4 linked regions of the Saccharomyces cerevisiae S288C genome follow. The main gene of each other region encodes a partner of the protein of the gene in region 2 in a complex. Each region holds a gene or a part of one and is shown on either strand. Other genes may lie near its edges. A codon is read from its position in the direction of its gene.

Evidence for each region.
Region 1: the proteins of RSC30 (region 2) and RSC3 are in contact, whole or in part, in a cryo-EM structure (PDB 6K15), measured with the Saccharomyces cerevisiae proteins. Residues at the interface, in NP_011923.2 of Saccharomyces cerevisiae: Ala194 (codon at 2,382), Val195 (codon at 2,385), Phe196 (codon at 2,388), Asp197 (codon at 2,391), Leu198 (codon at 2,394), Met199 (codon at 2,397), Thr200 (codon at 2,400), Ser201 (codon at 2,403), Pro202 (codon at 2,406), Phe203 (codon at 2,409), Thr204 (codon at 2,412), Gln205 (codon at 2,415), Val208 (codon at 2,424), Leu209 (codon at 2,427), Glu212 (codon at 2,436), Ile213 (codon at 2,439), Leu216 (codon at 2,448), Lys217 (codon at 2,451), Lys219 (codon at 2,457), Leu220 (codon at 2,460), Leu223 (codon at 2,469), Gln224 (codon at 2,472); in NP_010589.3 of Saccharomyces cerevisiae: Pro155 (codon at 2,934), Leu156 (codon at 2,931), Asn157 (codon at 2,928), Trp158 (codon at 2,925), Val159 (codon at 2,922), Gln160 (codon at 2,919), Gly161 (codon at 2,916), Pro162 (codon at 2,913), Ala163 (codon at 2,910), Ile164 (codon at 2,907), Phe165 (codon at 2,904), His166 (codon at 2,901), Glu181 (codon at 2,856), Met182 (codon at 2,853), Leu185 (codon at 2,844), Arg188 (codon at 2,835), Leu189 (codon at 2,832), Leu192 (codon at 2,823), Ile195 (codon at 2,814), Thr196 (codon at 2,811).
Region 3: RSC30 (region 2) and HTL1 share a complex: the UniProt entries of both Saccharomyces cerevisiae proteins name them as parts of the fungal-specific module (HTL1-LDB7-NPL6-RSC3-RSC30) within the RSC complex.
Region 4: RSC30 (region 2) and NPL6 share a complex: the UniProt entries of both Saccharomyces cerevisiae proteins name them as parts of the fungal-specific module (HTL1-LDB7-NPL6-RSC3-RSC30) within the RSC complex.

What each region holds. Positions count from the first base shown.
Region 1 is NC_001136.10:1,067,991-1,073,500, forward strand, and holds RSC3 (Rsc3p), read right to left. Parts: upstream 3,397-5,510; coding exon 739-3,396; downstream 1-738. Other genes in the region: mannose-ethanolamine phosphotransferase GPI11, read left to right, coding at 1-400; peptidylprolyl isomerase family protein CPR5, read right to left, coding at 3,890-4,567; HNT2 (bis(5'-adenosyl)-triphosphatase), read right to left, coding at 4,756-5,322, 5,412-5,498. UniProt on the Saccharomyces cerevisiae protein: Component of the chromatin structure-remodeling complex (RSC), which is involved in transcription regulation and nucleosome positioning. RSC is responsible for the transfer of a histone octamer from a nucleosome core particle to naked DNA.
Region 2 is NC_001140.6:214,315-219,636, reverse strand, and holds RSC30 (Rsc30p), read left to right. Parts: upstream 1-1,802; coding exon 1,803-4,454; downstream 4,455-5,322. Other genes in the region: mediator complex subunit MED6, read left to right, coding at 1-640; peptidylprolyl isomerase CPR2, read left to right, coding at 794-1,411; metallothionein CUP1-2, read left to right, coding at 4,919-5,104; YHR054C-B (uncharacterized protein), read left to right, coding at 4,947-5,120. UniProt on the Saccharomyces cerevisiae protein: Component of the chromatin structure-remodeling complex (RSC), which is involved in transcription regulation and nucleosome positioning. RSC is responsible for the transfer of a histone octamer from a nucleosome core particle to naked DNA.
Region 3 is NC_001135.5:153,641-156,249, forward strand, and holds HTL1 (Htl1p), read left to right. Parts: upstream 1-1,679; coding exon 1,680-1,916; downstream 1,917-2,609. Other genes in the region: MAK32 (Mak32p), read left to right, coding at 1-288; PET18 (Pet18p), read right to left, coding at 372-1,019; MAK31 (Mak31p), read right to left, coding at 1,190-1,456; HSP30 (Hsp30p), read right to left, coding at 2,469-2,609. UniProt on the Saccharomyces cerevisiae protein: Required for cell cycle progression through G2/M transition at temperatures higher than 33 degrees Celsius. Component of the chromatin structure-remodeling complex (RSC), which is involved in transcription regulation and nucleosome positioning.
Region 4 is NC_001145.3:449,467-453,369, reverse strand, and holds NPL6 (Npl6p), read left to right. Parts: upstream 1-2,004; coding exon 2,005-3,312; downstream 3,313-3,903. Other genes in the region: AIP1 (Aip1p), read left to right, coding at 1-1,738; YMR090W (uncharacterized protein), read right to left, coding at 3,442-3,903. UniProt on the Saccharomyces cerevisiae protein: Component of the chromatin structure remodeling complex (RSC), which is involved in transcription regulation and nucleosome positioning. RSC is responsible for the transfer of a histone octamer from a nucleosome core particle to naked DNA.

The sequences.
Region 1 (5,510 bases), on a different chromosome or scaffold from region 2:
TTTACAATTCAATAAATGCACAGTTTACGGTAACAAAATCATTAAGATCAATTACTCATTGACCATTATTTGTCTAGGTGTTACATTTTTGTTGAGCTTTCCCACAATGTTATTAACTATATTATTTGGTGCGCCATTAATGGACTTATTGTGGGAAACCTGGCTGTTGTCACTGCATTTTGCATTTTTAGCATACCCTGCAGTTTATTCTGTATTTAATTGTGATTTCAAAGTGGGATTATGGAAGAAGTATTTTATCTTTATCGTTGTAGGGGGTTGGATTAGTTGTGTTGTCATTCCTTTGGATTGGGATAGAGATTGGCAGAATTGGCCAATTCCTATTGTTGTTGGAGGTTATTTGGGCGCTTTGGTGGGCTATACTATCGGTGCCTATATATAATATCGGTAATTTAAAAATTTGTATATAAAAAAATATAAGTATGATAGAGGTAACATAAACTGGTCCTATGCACAATTGAAAAATCTATGACAAAAACTAAATGATCTTTATACCAAACCCACCTATATGCTATTTGTACCATCTTAAAAGAAGGTAATAACTTCCATACAGATAAATAGCTAACAACATTAAATATCTCCCACTCTCCTCATTCTTTTCTTTTCATAATTTCCTTTTTCTGATTTATTCATTCTATATAAAAAAATAATACAAATCCTCAGATTAAATAATAAATACTATAAAAGTCTCAACTTCTTCTTTAATTTGTTTGAGTCGCTTTAGCTACGAATAGCCTCAAAAACTTCGTTGAAATTCTCCTTTGTTAAACCGAAAGTATCCGAATTTGCGTCGCTATCAACAGGAGCTGCTGCGCCTAAAACTCCATTAGAAACTGTGCTATTTTTCCTCTGTTCATAAAAATCCGTTTTTATCAGAGATTCTGAAATTTTACTCAACTCGTGATTTAATTTAATCAACTGCTCTGCAGATATGCCAGAAAATCCGTTATTAATGGAATAATTTGAATCGGCGCTAGTCGTTACCTTATTCTCCTCAAGATTTTTGATATACTTGGAGATTGTCTTAATTTTAATAATCAGATTTTCGATGAGTTTATTTTGCTTTTTACAATTCTTGGTATAATCACTTAACAACATTGCAATTTTGTTGATAATTAAATGAATAACATTTTTATTCTTTATTCTCTTACTATTGTCGTTATTACTATGAATATCTGTTTGCTCACTGATTTCATTAGCATCATTCGTCCTCTTTGAAGAATCAAAAGACCTTTGATAGAGCGCCAAAAGCATTAAAACTAAAGTTTGCAGAACCACAATAGATTTATTGATGAATGTGAATTCATGACCAGCAAATTTAATATTGGCTAAGTTCGAGAAAACAAAGAACAAGGTCTCCCTCGACAATTCCAAAAAGTCTTCCAAAATTTCGTTAAATTTAGCATAATTTTTCAATGTTTCAAATTGCAATAAGAGGTAAAAGTTCAAATATAACATTGAATTCCTGTAGATTAGAGAATCCATGATATTATTAATTATTGAAGGAGTCGTTAAACATCCTTGGCTGACCTCGATATTCTTATTTTTCAAAAGCTTGATTAACTGTATAATTTTATCAATGGATAGTTGTTGATCTTTACTTTGCAAATATTTCATCAAGTTTACTTCAAAATCAATCAATTCAAAATCGTTGTTCAACAAAGGATCAATAATTGGGGTAGAATTTGTGAAAGGTTCAGACATTAGCAACGGCAATTGACCTAAGAAAAGGTGTCTCCAGCAGTAGTTCTTAAATATGAAATTCCAGGTCAAAATATGAGATTGATTTTGAGTTTCATGATTTAACGATAGTAAACATGCCATATGCATATCTTCGTCGTAATCAATTACGAAAGAGGACGATGACGACGTGTCCATCACAAATTGGTAATATTTCCACAAAGAAATAAACCGCAGGGTCTCTATATTACACATTGACCTTTTTTCAATTTCAAATCTAAGCGTTGTTAAATTAGACTTCAACAAAGGCAAGTAGTTGAATAACACATTGAATAATTGCAAGTGTTCATCATCTCTAAGAGGAATCAAAACCGTAGAATTCAACGATTCAAAAAGAATCAGGAGACAGAGAGTAATAAATCCTAGATTTAGTAGCTGATCATTGGTCACACTAAAAACTTGAAAAATAGTTTCAAAATCTTTAGAATTTGGCTTATTAATGGTGTTAGAAGGAAAAAGCTGCTCAACTATGGGTAATAGTCTCTTTGGTTTTAATATTGGAAGTATTGAATTCGTTTCCGTTATCGTGGATAAGTATTTGTTGATAAGGGTCTGTGTTATCGATTGTGAAGGAAACTTTAATATTTGAGATATGCCACTGTTGCGCTCAATACTGTTACGGCTTGCTACCAAATCGTGCAAAGGTCCATTAAATTGCGTTTCAATTAATATATTCAAGTCATTGAAGAATTTGAATAGGAAAGGATCACGTTCAATCAAATACTGAATCTGGAAGATAGAACTTTTATTTATATTTTTTGGTAACAGCCATAATCTGTTTCTACCTTCTTCTGAAATAGCAGAATTAAACACATTAAAAACTTTATTAGTATCCAAAAATTGAGGATCTAAATCCTTAAATTCATTAAGATGAGGTCTTCTTTCACTCTCTGGAATTGGCTTACCGTCCCCGTCCGTAACGCCGTCTTCACTCAGTTTTCTTTTCTTAATTGTCAAAAACTCCTCTTGGTTTCTATTGGAGTGTGAAGACTGCATTTGCGCTGAGGAATCCTGCTTGAGATCAAGATTTACTCCCGTAATTTTCTTACCTGTAATTTCTTGCAATTCCAGTAGTCTGCCTTTCAAGAAATTCATTTCATGATTGATGATTTCATCTTGTGTGTAAGGAGAGGTTAGCATATGAAAAATTGCAGGGCCTTGAACCCAATTGAGTGGAGTAGAAGATTCGTTTGCAGAAGTGACTGGCTTACTTTCCAAGGAAGGCACTGATTTTGGAATATATTGAGTGTGTTGTTGATTCAAGGTTGCATTTGCCGCAGATGATCTATTATTAAGTTGATTTTGAGCATTGAGCAGTTGCAGACGCGTGTTGTATTCTCTTATTTGCTCCAAAGAAGCCAGTTCTGGATTTTTCTGCAAAAGTGCAGCAGTTTCCTTGGAGACACGACGAGAAGCGTAATAAGAGTTTAAGTACGGACCGTTGGCTACTTGGCGTGTATTGGAAGAGGAAGAACTAGAGGGAACGTATTGTCCGGGAACGTCCGGATAAAAGCAGTCCATTTTATTATGCTTCATACAGTTCCCACAAATCGGCTTAACACGATCGCAGCCTATCTTCCTCTTACGGCACTGCACGCATGCAGGCGGTTTTTTCATTTTTCTACCACGAATATCCATCGTTGTTTTTTGGTTCTGAAATGCTATTTTTGTAGATAAGAGCTTAAGAAAATATCACAGAAACCTCGATTTTAAATATCTGCGTAGTATGGGGCAATTGCAGCAGAGCACCAATGACTTTGGTTTGAAAGCCGTGAGTTTTGATGAAATAATCTAATGTAAGCAGCTAATATATCTTCTCGGGCGAAAACGGGAAAGTGGTCTTACAAGCGTCTAACGGGCCGAATGAATATTGGTGAACTATGGCTATTTGCGAGAAGGTATAGCAGTGGAAGTGTCCAGAAAGCAGTATGTTCCTAATAATAAAGGTAGTTCTTGGTCTGTGTGATCCCAGCTGGTCAACAAGACCCACGTTGGTCAATTGAAATACTCTTGTGAAGTTGTGCCAGAAAAGGGCCATAGGGTAACATACTCGTTCTATGTGATAATCAACTGTTATAAGCACTATATAGTTACATAGCTGGCCTATACATCTCCTGAATAGTGATGCAGTTTAGAGTTCATCGTGGGCTGCTTCGCTAGCTTCCGCTTTGATCTCTTCCTGTAGCTTGGCGGCGTCTTTATTGTCCAAAGGAACAGTTTCCAGTTCACCACTTTCCACAATAATAACTTCCTTTACAGGCATATTTCTACTGTCGGTCTTAACGTTTTCAATGTAGTGAACTACGTCCATACCATCCAAGACTTCTCCAAAGACAACGTGCTTACCGTCCAACCATGGGCATGGGACGGTGGTGATGAAAAATTGGGATCCGTTGGTGTTTTTACCACGATTGGCCATAGACAATCTGCCTGGTTTGTCATGTTTGACATCAAAATTCTCATCTTTGAACGTGTTTCCGAAGATAGACTTACCCCCAATACCTGATCTGTGAGTGAAATCGCCACCTTGAATCATGAAGTTAGGAATAACGCGATGGAAGATAGAGTTCAAATAACCCATCTTAGGGTCCCTGGAAATGGTCAACTGGTAAAAGTTTTCAACGGTTTGGGGTGTGGTGAGACCATACAATCCCATAACAATTCTACCAATTTGTTTATCACCGTGATTAATGTCAAAGTAGACCTTGTGTGTGATCTCAGGATCTTCTGCCGTGTCCTCTTTCGCAAAAATGGCTGTTGTGAAGAGACAAGCAAATAAGGTAATAAAGGAAAAAAATTGAAGCTTCATAATTGCGGATATCGCTGTGCCTTTTGTTTATTGAATTGAAAGTAACCTTTACTGTTGAGTCTCCTCGAGGAAAGTAGTAAGGATGGTTTCATCTTTTTTTTCCTCTGCTAAAAGGGATTCGCTGCGAAACGAAAATTAACTTCCCTACTATTTTTTATATCGTAAGTATGAATCTATTATTTATTGAACTATAACCATTGTGTTAAACCAGGATCAGAAGATACAAATTCTTCTAGTCTGGCTTGAAGATCCTCAGCTTCTTTTTTCATTTCGGTTAAAGCTCGAACCTTCCTTTGACTGTCTGGCTTCAAGACATTAGGACCTTGTGAGAGTTCATCCCCGTCTACAGTGGCCGATGTAGAGTTATTTTTTCTTGCTTGCCTACCACCAACACCCAAATATTCGTCTCTTCTTCCTTGCCAATCAGTCAAAGTCCCATTACCATCCCAATGATCTAATTTATCGTATATTAAATCCCCTACATTGTTTATTTTATAACGTGGAATAATGTGTGTATGCAAGTGGGGTACCGACTGTCCGGCCTCAGGTCCATCTTGGATGGCAACGTTGATAGAGTCAGCCTTATATTGCCACTTAATAAATCTATGTATTAACTGTAAAGTCTTGAAATAATCTTGAGATTCAGGCATGGTCAGATCTGATAAGTTTAAAACCGTAGTTCTCAGTGGAACGATCAGTACATGTCCGGGTACAATTGGTTTCAAGTTTACCAATGCATACGTATATTTTGACTTCTGTAAAGAAGCAGAGATTATAAGGTCTCCATATAGTTAGTAACGCAATGGTGCGAATGGGGTACAAAAAAACATATGAGAGTGCATACATAGAAAACTTGTTCAGTTACAAGAAACTTGCTGAAATATATTGGCTTATTCATGCTTTTAGGTTTCTTTGTTTTGCTTAAGATCATTCTGAGCCCAAG
Region 2 (5,322 bases):
TGCCTATGTGGATCCGGCAAGAAGACAAATCCTTTTCAAGTATCCTATGTATATGCAACTGGAGGAGGAATTAATGAAGTTAGATGGTACTGAATACGTATTGAGCAGCGTAAGAGAGCCTGACTTCTGGGTTATCAGGAAGCAAAGACGAACAAACAATTCTGGTGTGGGAAGCGCTAAGGGACCAGAGATTATTCCATTGCAAGACTACTACATAATTGGTGCAAACATTTACCAATCGCCAACAATTTTTAAAATTGTGCAAAGTAGGCTGATGTCCACGAGCTACCATCTAAATAGCACATTGGAGAGCTTGTATGACTTGATTGAGTTTCAACCTTCCCAAGGAGTACACTATAAAGTACCTACGGACACTAGCACGACTGCAACGGCTGCCACCAACGGGAACAACGCTGGAGGGGGCAGTAACAAGAGCAGTGTACGACCTACCGGCGGTGCCAATATGGCGACTGTTCCCTCAACCACAAATGTCAACATGACAGTCAACACTATGGGTACAGGAGGACAAACTATAGACAACGGTACCGGTCGTACTGGCAACGGTAACATGGGTATAACTACAGAGATGTTGGACAAATTAATGGTCACAAGCATTCGATCCACCCCAAACTACATATGAGAACTGCCATGGCAATTGCATATATCTTTGTACTATATTATAAAACCCCGCGAAATCAACTTTTCAGTTTTCTTCAAAAATCGATGTACCCATCATAAGAAGTTCCCCCAAAAGGAAAGAAATGAGAGGAAAAAGACACGAAGGGAAAACAAAATGAAATTCAGTGGCTTGTGGTGTTGGTTGTTATTATTCCTTAGCGTTAATGTTATTGCATCTGATGTGGGTGAGTTGATTGATCAGGACGACGAAGTAATTACACAAAAGGTGTTTTTCGATATTGAACATGGTGAAGAGAAAGTTGGCAGAATCGTTATTGGGTTGTACGGAAAGGTATGTCCTAAGACGGCGAAGAACTTCTACAAGTTAAGCACCACCACTAATTCCAAAAAGGGGTTCATCGGGTCCACTTTCCATAGGGTGATTCCCAACTTCATGGTACAGGGAGGGGACTTCACAGACGGCACTGGCGTTGGTGGCAAATCCATCTATGGAGATACTTTCCCTGACGAAAACTTTACTTTGAAGCATGATCGCAAGGGCAGACTATCGATGGCTAATCGTGGTAAAGATACCAATGGATCTCAGTTCTTCATCACCACTACGGAAGAAGCGTCGTGGCTCGATGGAAAGCATGTGGTATTTGGACAGGTTGTGGACGGCATGGATGTGGTGAACTACATACAGCACGTGTCCAGAGATGCGAATGACAAACCTCTCGAGGCGGTCAAGATCGCAAAATGCGGTGAGTGGACGCCTGAGCTCTCTTCTTGAGTATATGCAATATTTCATACTATATACATAGATATCAATTTCAGTATGTATAGTTAAAGGTAAATTAACTAGAGAACGTGGGAACAGTTCCGCACTGTGACCACCGGAACGTACGTCTGGTTAGCGCAGCATTAGTCCCAGTTACATCCGATTCAAAATGCAACAGCAAGTATTAATTGGGGAAATCATATCATTTTGAATATAACCTTGGCGTCCTACTAAGGATGGTTATACATCCTAGCTCGTGTAGTGTGATATTTTGCAGGAATGATGCAAAGAGAGGAAGAACAAGAAGAGAGTTGTTGTTTTTAATGTATCTTAGCAATTTATGAGAGGAGCATTGTCGTTGTCTGCTGTGACTAGTGCGTAGCTTTGCCGTTTGTTTTTAATCATGATGGACATGCAAGTGAGAAAAGTGAGGAAGCCGCCTGCTTGCACCCAATGCAGGAAGAGAAAGATCGGGTGCGACAGGGCAAAACCGATATGTGGGAATTGCGTCAAGTATAACAAGCCGGACTGTTTTTATCCAGATGGACCTGGTAAGATGGTCGCTGTGCCCTCTGCGTCCGGGATGTCCACGCACGGCAATGGCCAAGGTTCCAACCATTTTAGTCAGGGAAACGGTGTAAATCAGAAAAACGTAATGATTCAAACGCAGTATCCGATTATGCAAACGTCGATAGAGGCATTCAACTTCTCGTTCAACCCCTCTGTGGATACTGCGATGCAGTGGACCAAGGCCGCTAGCTACCAGAATAATAACACCAATAATAATACTGCTCCTCGTCAGAATAGTAGTACCGTTAGTAGTAATGTTCATGGAAACACTATTGTGAGAAGCGATAGTCCAGATGTGCCCTCCATGGATCAGATTAGAGAATATAACACACGATTACAACTGGTTAACGCTCAAAGTTTTGACTATACAGATAACCCATACTCTTTTAATGTTGGTATCAATCAAGACTCGGCCGTTTTCGATCTAATGACTTCTCCGTTTACTCAAGAGGAAGTATTAATCAAGGAGATAGACTTTTTAAAAAACAAATTGCTTGATTTACAAAGCTTGCAACTGAAAAGTTTGAAAGAAAAATCGAATTTAAATGCCGACAATACCACGGCAAACAAAATTAACAAAACAGGTGAGAATTCTAAGAAAGGCAAGGTTGACGGTAAAAGAGCCGGATTTGATCATCAGACTTCAAGGACTTCTCAGTCCTCACAAAAATACTTTACAGCGCTCACAATAACAGATGTGCAAAGTTTAGTCCAAGTGAAACCGTTGAAGGATACCCCCAACTACCTTTTCACTAAAAACTTCATCATTTTTAGAGATCATTATCTTTTCAAGTTCTATAATATTTTGCACGATATCTGCCATATTAATCAGTTCAAAGTAAGTCCTCCTAACAATAAAAATCACCAACAATATATGGAAGTTTGCAAAGTTAACTTCCCACCAAAAGCAATAATTATTGAGACACTAAACTCTGAATCCCTTAACAATCTGAATATTGAAGAATTTTTGCCAATCTTTGACAAAACCCTCTTACTAGAATTTGTTCATAACTCTTTTCCAAATGGTGATACCTGTCCTTCATTCTCAACGGTCGATCTTCCTTTATCTCAACTGACCAAACTAGGCGAATTAACTGTGCTTCTACTGTTGTTAAACGATTCAATGACCCTATTCAATAAGCAGGCTATTAATAACCATGTTTCGGCATTAATGAATAATTTGAGGTTGATTCGAAGCCAAATCACATTGATAAACCTGGAATATTATGACCAAGAGACAATCAAATTTATTGCCATCACAAAATTTTATGAATCTCTGTACATGCATGATGATCATAAATCAAGTTTAGACGAAGATTTGAGCTGTCTGTTAAGCTTCCAGATAAAAGATTTCAAGTTATTCCATTTTTTGAAAAAAATGTATTACTCAAGACATTCGCTTCTAGGTCAGTCTTCATTCATGGTACCCGCTGCTGAAAACCTATCTCCGATACCTGCCTCTATTGATACGAACGACATTCCTTTAATTGCTAACGATTTAAAATTACTGGAAACGCAAGCAAAATTGATAAATATTCTGCAAGGTGTTCCTTTCTACTTGCCAGTAAATTTAACCAAAATTGAAAGTCTGTTAGAAACCTTGACTATGGGCGTGAGTAATACAGTAGACTTATATTTTCATGACAACGAAGTCAGAAAAGAATGGAAAGACACTTTAAATTTTATCAATACCATTGTTTATACAAATTTTTTCCTTTTTGTTCAAAACGAATCCTCTTTGTCCATGGCAGTTCAACATTCTTCTAACAACAATAAGACCTCGAACTCTGAAAGATGTGCAAAGGATCTGATGAAAATTATTTCTAATATGCACATTTTTTACTCAATAACATTTAATTTTATCTTCCCCATAAAGTCGATAAAGTCATTTTCAAGCGGCAATAATCGCTTTCATTCTAATGGTAAAGAATTTTTATTCGCAAATCATTTTATTGAAATCTTACAGAATTTTATAGCAATCACATTTGCTATTTTCCAACGTTGTGAAGTAATATTATATGACGAATTTTACAAAAATCTTTCAAATGAGGAGATTAATGTTCAATTGCTATTGATTCATGACAAGATTTTGGAAATTTTAAAAAAAATAGAAATTATCGTATCCTTTTTACGAGATGAAATGAATAGCAACGGAAGTTTCAAATCTATTAAAGGTTTCAACAAGGTTTTGAATCTGATTAAATATATGCTGAGATTTAGCAAGAAAAAACAAAATTTTGCGAGAAACTCTGATAACAATAATGTTACAGATTATAGTCAGTCGGCGAAGAACAAAAATGTTCTCTTGAAATTCCCCGTTAGTGAACTGAACAGAATCTATTTAAAATTTAAGGAGATTTCAGATTTTTTAATGGAAAGAGAAGTTGTCCAAAGGAGTATAATTATTGACAAGGATTTGGAATCTGATAATCTGGGTATTACTACGGCAAACTTCAACGATTTCTATGATGCATTTTATAATTAGTAAGCCGATCCCATTACCGACATTTGGGCGCTATACGTGCATATGTTCATGTATGTATCTGTATTTAAAACACTTTTGTATTATTTTTCCTCATATATGTGTATAGGTTTATACGGATGATTTAATTATTACTTCACCACCCTTTATTTCAGGCTGATATCTTAGCCTTGTTACTAGTTAGAAAAAGACATTTTTGCTGTCAGTCACTGTCAAGAGATTCTTTTGCTGGCATTTCTTCTAGAAGCAAAAAGAGCGATGCGTCTTTTCCGCTGAACCGTTCCAGCAAAAAAGACTACCAACGCAATATGGATTGTCAGAATCATATAAAAGAGAAGCAAATAACTCCTTGTCTTGTATCAATTGCATTATAATATCTTCTTGTTAGTGCAATATCATATAGAAGTCATCGAAATAGATATTAAGAAAAACAAACTGTACAATCAATCAATCAATCATCACATAAAATGTTCAGCGAATTAATTAACTTCCAAAATGAAGGTCATGAGTGCCAATGCCAATGTGGTAGCTGCAAAAATAATGAACAATGCCAAAAATCATGTAGCTGCCCAACGGGGTGTAACAGCGACGACAAATGCCCCTGCGGTAACAAGTCTGAAGAAACCAAGAAGTCATGCTGCTCTGGGAAATGAAACGAATAGTCTTTAATATATTCATCTAACTATTTGCTGTTTTTAATTTTTAAAAGGAGAAGGAAGTTTAATCGACGATTCTACTCAGTTTGAGTACACTTATGTATTTTGTTTAGATACTTTGTTAATTTATAGGTATACGTTAATAATTAAGAAAAGGAAATAAAGTATCTCCATATGTCGCCCCAAGAATAAAATATTATTACCAAATTCTAGTT
Region 3 (2,609 bases), on a different chromosome or scaffold from region 2:
GCCTACCATTTCAAAACTCAGTCTAAAGTACTAGATCCTACTGGCGGGGGAAACTCGTTCCTTGGCGGCTTTGCAGTTTCTTATGCCCTAACGAAAAGCTTAGATATTGCTAGTATATGTGGGAACATCGCTGCAGGCGCAATAATTGAACAATTCGGAATACCGAGGTACGATCCAATTGCTAAAACCTGGAACGGAATCACATTCTTGGATAGACTGAAATTTTACCTTTCACAGTCCGGTCTTCAATATAATATAAACGATCTTTACAAAAGTCTAACACGATGATCATATCAGCTTGTTCATTGCTCTTATTTTTCTGCAAAAATATACATATATATATATAAGTAAGTGTTATATACTACTTGAGATTAGGCGTTGTAACAAGATTCAAAAAATTCGAACTCGAACTGTGAAACCTTCACAAATATGCTTTCCACTTCTTCGACGGGAAACTTGTCAACTTCAGCCTTTAGAAATTCACACCAAGTTTGAAAATGCTCACCATCATGTAAATCAATCCATTTTTGATATTTCCAATGCAACCCTGGGGCTCTAGGAGTATCACGAGCCCATCTCCAATAGAGTTCCTCAGCAACCCATAAGCTGGTTACTAAGGATGGCCATGTAATTGAGGCGTCCTTTCTCAGCTCATCTAAGAAATTAATATACGCATCAACGCCGGGGATCGCTTTATTGTCAAAATTATCTCTTTCTTCCTTGGTGAGGGATGGTGCCAATAATTCTAAGCAGTCATGAAAGTATGAGTTTTCATCATTAGAAAAAAATCCAATCTTTTTGGCTAAGGTTATTAAAGCGTGAGTAGTTGGTGCTAAAGAAGTCGTCTTACATATCAACCTTAAGCTAGTTTCAAAAAATTGCAGATCTTGTGATAAATAGATGTACAAACTACGGTCCTTCAATGTTCCGGCACATAGTTCCTTAGCGAATTTATGTTCTGTGGTTTTCCTAACAAGGGCGTCGTACTTTTGTATTAACTTATCAGTGGTACAGCTCATTGTTCTTCCTTGCAGATATTGTTGATATTGTTATTATTTGCGCTAAATTTTAGTTAATACAGAAAAAAATATCTAAGTTCAGTCCAGTTCATATTCGTTTATATATCTTTCGAAGCCAGACCTTTTTTGCCAAGCAATTGTTACTATGGAAACTATTAGAACCATATGCGCTAAACAATATTAGCCATCAATTCAACTTTATTCGCAGTAAGCTCCTGCAGAACAGGCTTATCAATCATTATGGTCTTAACGGAACGCCTAGGGACGCTGACTAGGCCCATCATTCTACTACTGGAGCCCATACGTTCCTCAACATGATCTAATAGCAAATTCATTTGGGCATCTACAGCAACCAAGCTTCCAACTAAAATACGATCTTCTGTAAGGGAAACTATTAAAGTATTTCCAATAAAATCTGACAGTTTCAAGATGTCCATGACGCTTTGGTGCCCCTTACTAAGTTTGTTGAAGACTATCTTCACCCTATCAATGATATCATCGCATTTAAAAAATAGTCAGAACTCATGCACTTCGCGAGATATTTTTTGAAAAAAAAAAAATTAATCCGCCACATAAGATGCACAAAATGAGCCTATAACATTGAATTTTATGATAGAACGAAAGGATTGTGTTATTTAGAACAGAGTATCAGTATATCGTATGTCACAGAACAACACAATCAGCTCAATGAATCCTGAAAGAGCTTACAACAATGTAACGCTGAAAAATTTAACAGCATTTCAGTTATTATCTCAAAGAGAAAACATATGCGAGTTATTGAACTTGGTAGAAAGTACGGAAAGACACAATAGTATTATCAATCCTGAAAGGCAAAGGATGAGTTTGGAAGAAATGAAAAAAATGCTCGATGCTTTGAAAAATGAAAGGAAAAAGTAGGAAAACGCAACATTCACAATTGTAAGCTACAAAATATTGAATGTGAATCCTGCTTCATTACAAATGAAGAATTTCAAAGCGTATCTAGTTCACCAAAAGTCACAATATCTTATTATTATTTGGAAGCTTTTATATGCATCTAATGGTCATAAATCCCATCTCACTTTATAAAACAAGTTACCGCGAATGTATCCAGTGATACAGAATAGAGTGTAACAAATGAGAATAAAAATACCATATTATCGTTTAATTTTGGTAGGGTACGCTAAAATAAAGTGGTGTTTGCGTCTCCATATAACTAAAAAGAATTGAAATGGCCTACTATCGATTAGACTATTCAGGCATGGAAGCAGTAAGAACATTTCTTGATTTTGGAAAAATGAGATTAGATTATTAATTATTGTGTTTGTGTATATAATTTATTTTGCATATTTCATAAAGAAATTAAAATTAGATTATTAAATATTAAGTTTCATTAGTGACATTAAAAGAAGAAAACTGATGTTTTGAAATGTGTTAAGCAAAGAATGATTAAGACAATCTCAAGCTGCTCTAAGCAGTATCTTCGACAGCTTGCTCTGCTTCAGGTTCGGGTTCGTGGATTGCAGTCTCTCCAGATGCTCTTGGGCTCTCTGGAACAGCTTCTTTTGTTTCAGGAGCCGCATCTTCCACATCGTCCGTAGCATGGTGATG
Region 4 (3,903 bases), on a different chromosome or scaffold from region 2:
TGGAAAATCTGCATTTGTACGTTGTTTGGACGATGGAGACAGTAAAGTACCTCCAGTAGTACAATTTACTGGTCATGGCTCTTCGGTAGTCACAACGGTAAAGTTCTCTCCAATTAAGGGTTCCCAGTACCTATGCTCCGGTGACGAATCTGGAAAAGTGATTGTTTGGGGATGGACATTTGACAAAGAAAGCAATTCTGTTGAAGTGAATGTTAAGTCTGAATTCCAAGTTTTAGCAGGTCCAATCAGCGATATCTCCTGGGATTTTGAAGGGCGAAGACTCTGCGTTGTGGGAGAAGGTCGTGATAACTTTGGTGTTTTCATATCCTGGGATTCTGGTAATTCCTTAGGTGAAGTTTCAGGTCACTCACAACGCATCAATGCTTGTCATTTGAAGCAATCTAGACCTATGAGATCTATGACAGTTGGAGATGATGGATCTGTTGTCTTTTATCAAGGACCTCCATTTAAGTTCTCTGCCAGTGACAGAACACACCACAAACAAGGCTCATTTGTCAGGGATGTTGAATTTTCACCTGACAGCGGTGAATTTGTTATTACGGTAGGGTCTGACAGAAAGATTTCTTGCTTTGATGGCAAATCAGGTGAGTTTCTTAAATACATAGAGGATGATCAAGAACCAGTTCAAGGTGGTATATTTGCACTATCGTGGCTTGATTCCCAAAAGTTTGCTACCGTAGGAGCAGACGCTACCATTAGGGTTTGGGACGTCACGACTTCAAAATGCGTTCAAAAATGGACCTTAGACAAGCAACAACTGGGAAATCAACAAGTTGGTGTTGTTGCAACAGGAAACGGAAGGATTATTTCTCTTTCACTGGATGGGACCTTAAACTTCTATGAACTTGGACATGACGAGGTTTTAAAAACCATTAGTGGTCATAACAAGGGTATTACTGCTTTGACAGTCAACCCACTAATCAGTGGGTCATATGATGGTAGGATTATGGAATGGTCTAGCTCTTCCATGCACCAAGATCACTCCAACTTGATTGTATCATTGGATAATAGTAAAGCGCAAGAATACTCCAGTATTTCTTGGGATGATACTTTGAAAGTGAACGGTATTACTAAGCATGAATTTGGATCGCAACCAAAGGTTGCTAGTGCGAACAATGATGGCTTCACTGCAGTACTAACAAATGATGATGATTTGTTGATATTACAGTCTTTTACGGGCGATATAATCAAGAGTGTAAGACTGAACTCACCAGGCTCTGCCGTTAGCTTGAGCCAAAATTACGTTGCAGTTGGTTTGGAAGAAGGTAATACTATTCAGGTATTCAAATTATCAGATTTGGAAGTCAGTTTTGATTTAAAAACACCTCTTCGCGCAAAACCCTCGTACATATCAATTTCGCCATCTGAAACATACATCGCTGCTGGAGATGTTATGGGCAAGATATTGCTATATGATTTACAATCAAGAGAAGTGAAAACTTCAAGATGGGCTTTCCACACCAGTAAAATCAACGCCATTTCATGGAAACCTGCTGAAAAGGGAGCAAACGAAGAGGAAATTGAAGAGGACTTAGTTGCCACTGGTTCTTTAGACACCAATATTTTTATTTACTCCGTCAAAAGACCTATGAAAATCATTAAGGCGTTGAATGCTCACAAGGACGGTGTTAACAACCTTTTATGGGAAACACCATCTACCTTGGTTAGTTCTGGTGCGGACGCTTGCATTAAAAGGTGGAATGTTGTCCTCGAGTGAGATAAGAATATAAAGTAAACAATTACGTAACCTTAGAAAAATAGATATAAAAAAGTTTTACACTGTTTTTACCACAGTCCATATAAACTTGTAATTATTACCCGAATGCTTTGATTACTTCGCTCTTTTAAAAAAAAACCCGTTCGAACTATTAAACATGTTACTGTGAGCAGACAAAAATATTGCAAGAAAACAGCTTTATAAAGTTTAAGCATTACTGAATACAGTACATTTACTTTTGAAGAAGGAAATACCATCTAGCAGAAATGTCAGATTCAGAGGGAGGTCTAGCTTCCGAAGTTGAACATGAGAAGCGGTCAAGATCTACTAGCAACAGACCCAATTATGCAATTGATACTGAGGATTTAGATATTGATGAAAATGATGAGAATGAAGATGATGATTACAGAGAAGAAGAAGCCAATGAGGGAGTGAATGAAGAAGAAATAAGTGATGAGGAGGAACAGATAAATAAAAGCGGAAGAAACAAAAGGAGGCACGTGGACGAAGAAGAGGATTTGTCAGAGGATAAAGGCGTTACTAGATCTAGAAACCGTTCAAAGTTCAAAAAACCAGTATTTCCCGGAATCGATGATGCTGAGGAGAACTTAAATCCTTTGAAAGTGGTCAATGAAGAATATGTTCTACCAGATGATCCTGAAGGTGAGACGAAGATAACTGCAGATGGTGATCTATTAGGAGGCAGAGAATTTTTAGTGCGCACCTTCACATTAACTGAGAAGGGGAATCGAAAGTTTATGCTGGCCACCGAACCGGCTAGGATAGTGGGTTTTAGAGATTCATATTTATTTTTTCAAACTCACCCCAACCTTTATAAGTTCATTCTGAATCAAACTCAAAAGAACGACTTGATAGACCGTGGCGTTTTACCTTATTCATATAGAAATAGACAAATCGCTCTAGTCACCGCTAGAGGCGTGTTTAAAGAATTTGGTGCTAAAATCATTCGTGGCGGCAAACATATAACCGATGATTATTATGCTTCTGAATTAAGAACAAAGGGAAATGTAATTGAAGGAAAACTTGCTGGTGATCCTATTGATAAATCCGCAAGGGCCTTAGAAACCATGATGTATCCTGCTTCCGAGAATGGCATAAACCCTGCAAAAAACCAGGTGGAATTCTTTGAACACAGGCCACATGGTCACATGAGTAATTCTAATATTATTGCATCAGGTAGTAAGCTGAGCTCTACAAATTGGCTCTATCAGCATTCTGCTGCGTGTAGTAGATTTAATAGCGATTTGTTTTATGATAGAGTGAAGGTTCTTCTTGTAGATCAACAAGGCTTGAGAGATGCATACACAAATATATTACACATACCAGAATCCACACAGTCAACCACTGTTTTAGGATGGAGGAGATCAAAAAACGATAGTCCCAGCGACACAAGCATTGTGTATGAGACCGTTATACACGATAACGATTTGAATAAACCGAAAACGGGACTGTCGGAAATCCCGAAAGAGATCTATGAAGACGTTGTTGATGAAGACGTTTTAAGGGCTATCACCGAACAACAAAATTTCGAAAAATGCAACGAATATATTTAGTATACTCAATGTAACAATATAACAAATTTTTATCTTCAAATCAAGGTAAAAAAATTCATATATTCTCACTTTCTTTTTCTTTTCTTGACTATTCATCTACATATGCATTTCACGCGTAAATAGGTTGATCTACAAACTTTGAATGAATTTTTCCATTGGCTCGTTGCCATTTACCAACGAAATGGTTTTTTTCACTGTTGCATTTGGATGTAGCAAGCTTTCCACAATAAAAGAAGCTACATCCTCCCTGTTAATGGAGTAGTTAACAGAAGCCTTCTCTTCTAATTTGTCAAGGGGTTGCAAAAGACCGGTACCTTTATTTAGTTCCAACGATCCAGGCTGTAAAATAGTGTAATCCAAATTAGAGTTTCTAACCTCACGATCAGCAGATCTCTTTGCAATATAGTATTCACGCAAACCCTTAATGTTATACCAAAAATCTCTATCCTCCGCCTTGAGCGCTGAAACAACAACGAACCTTTTGATACCAGCCTTTTCGCATGCTTCAACAACTTTGATACAGCCATCCAGATCAACCGTGAAAATTCTTTCCATTCCTTTACCACCCGCACCGGCGCTAAAGACCACGGC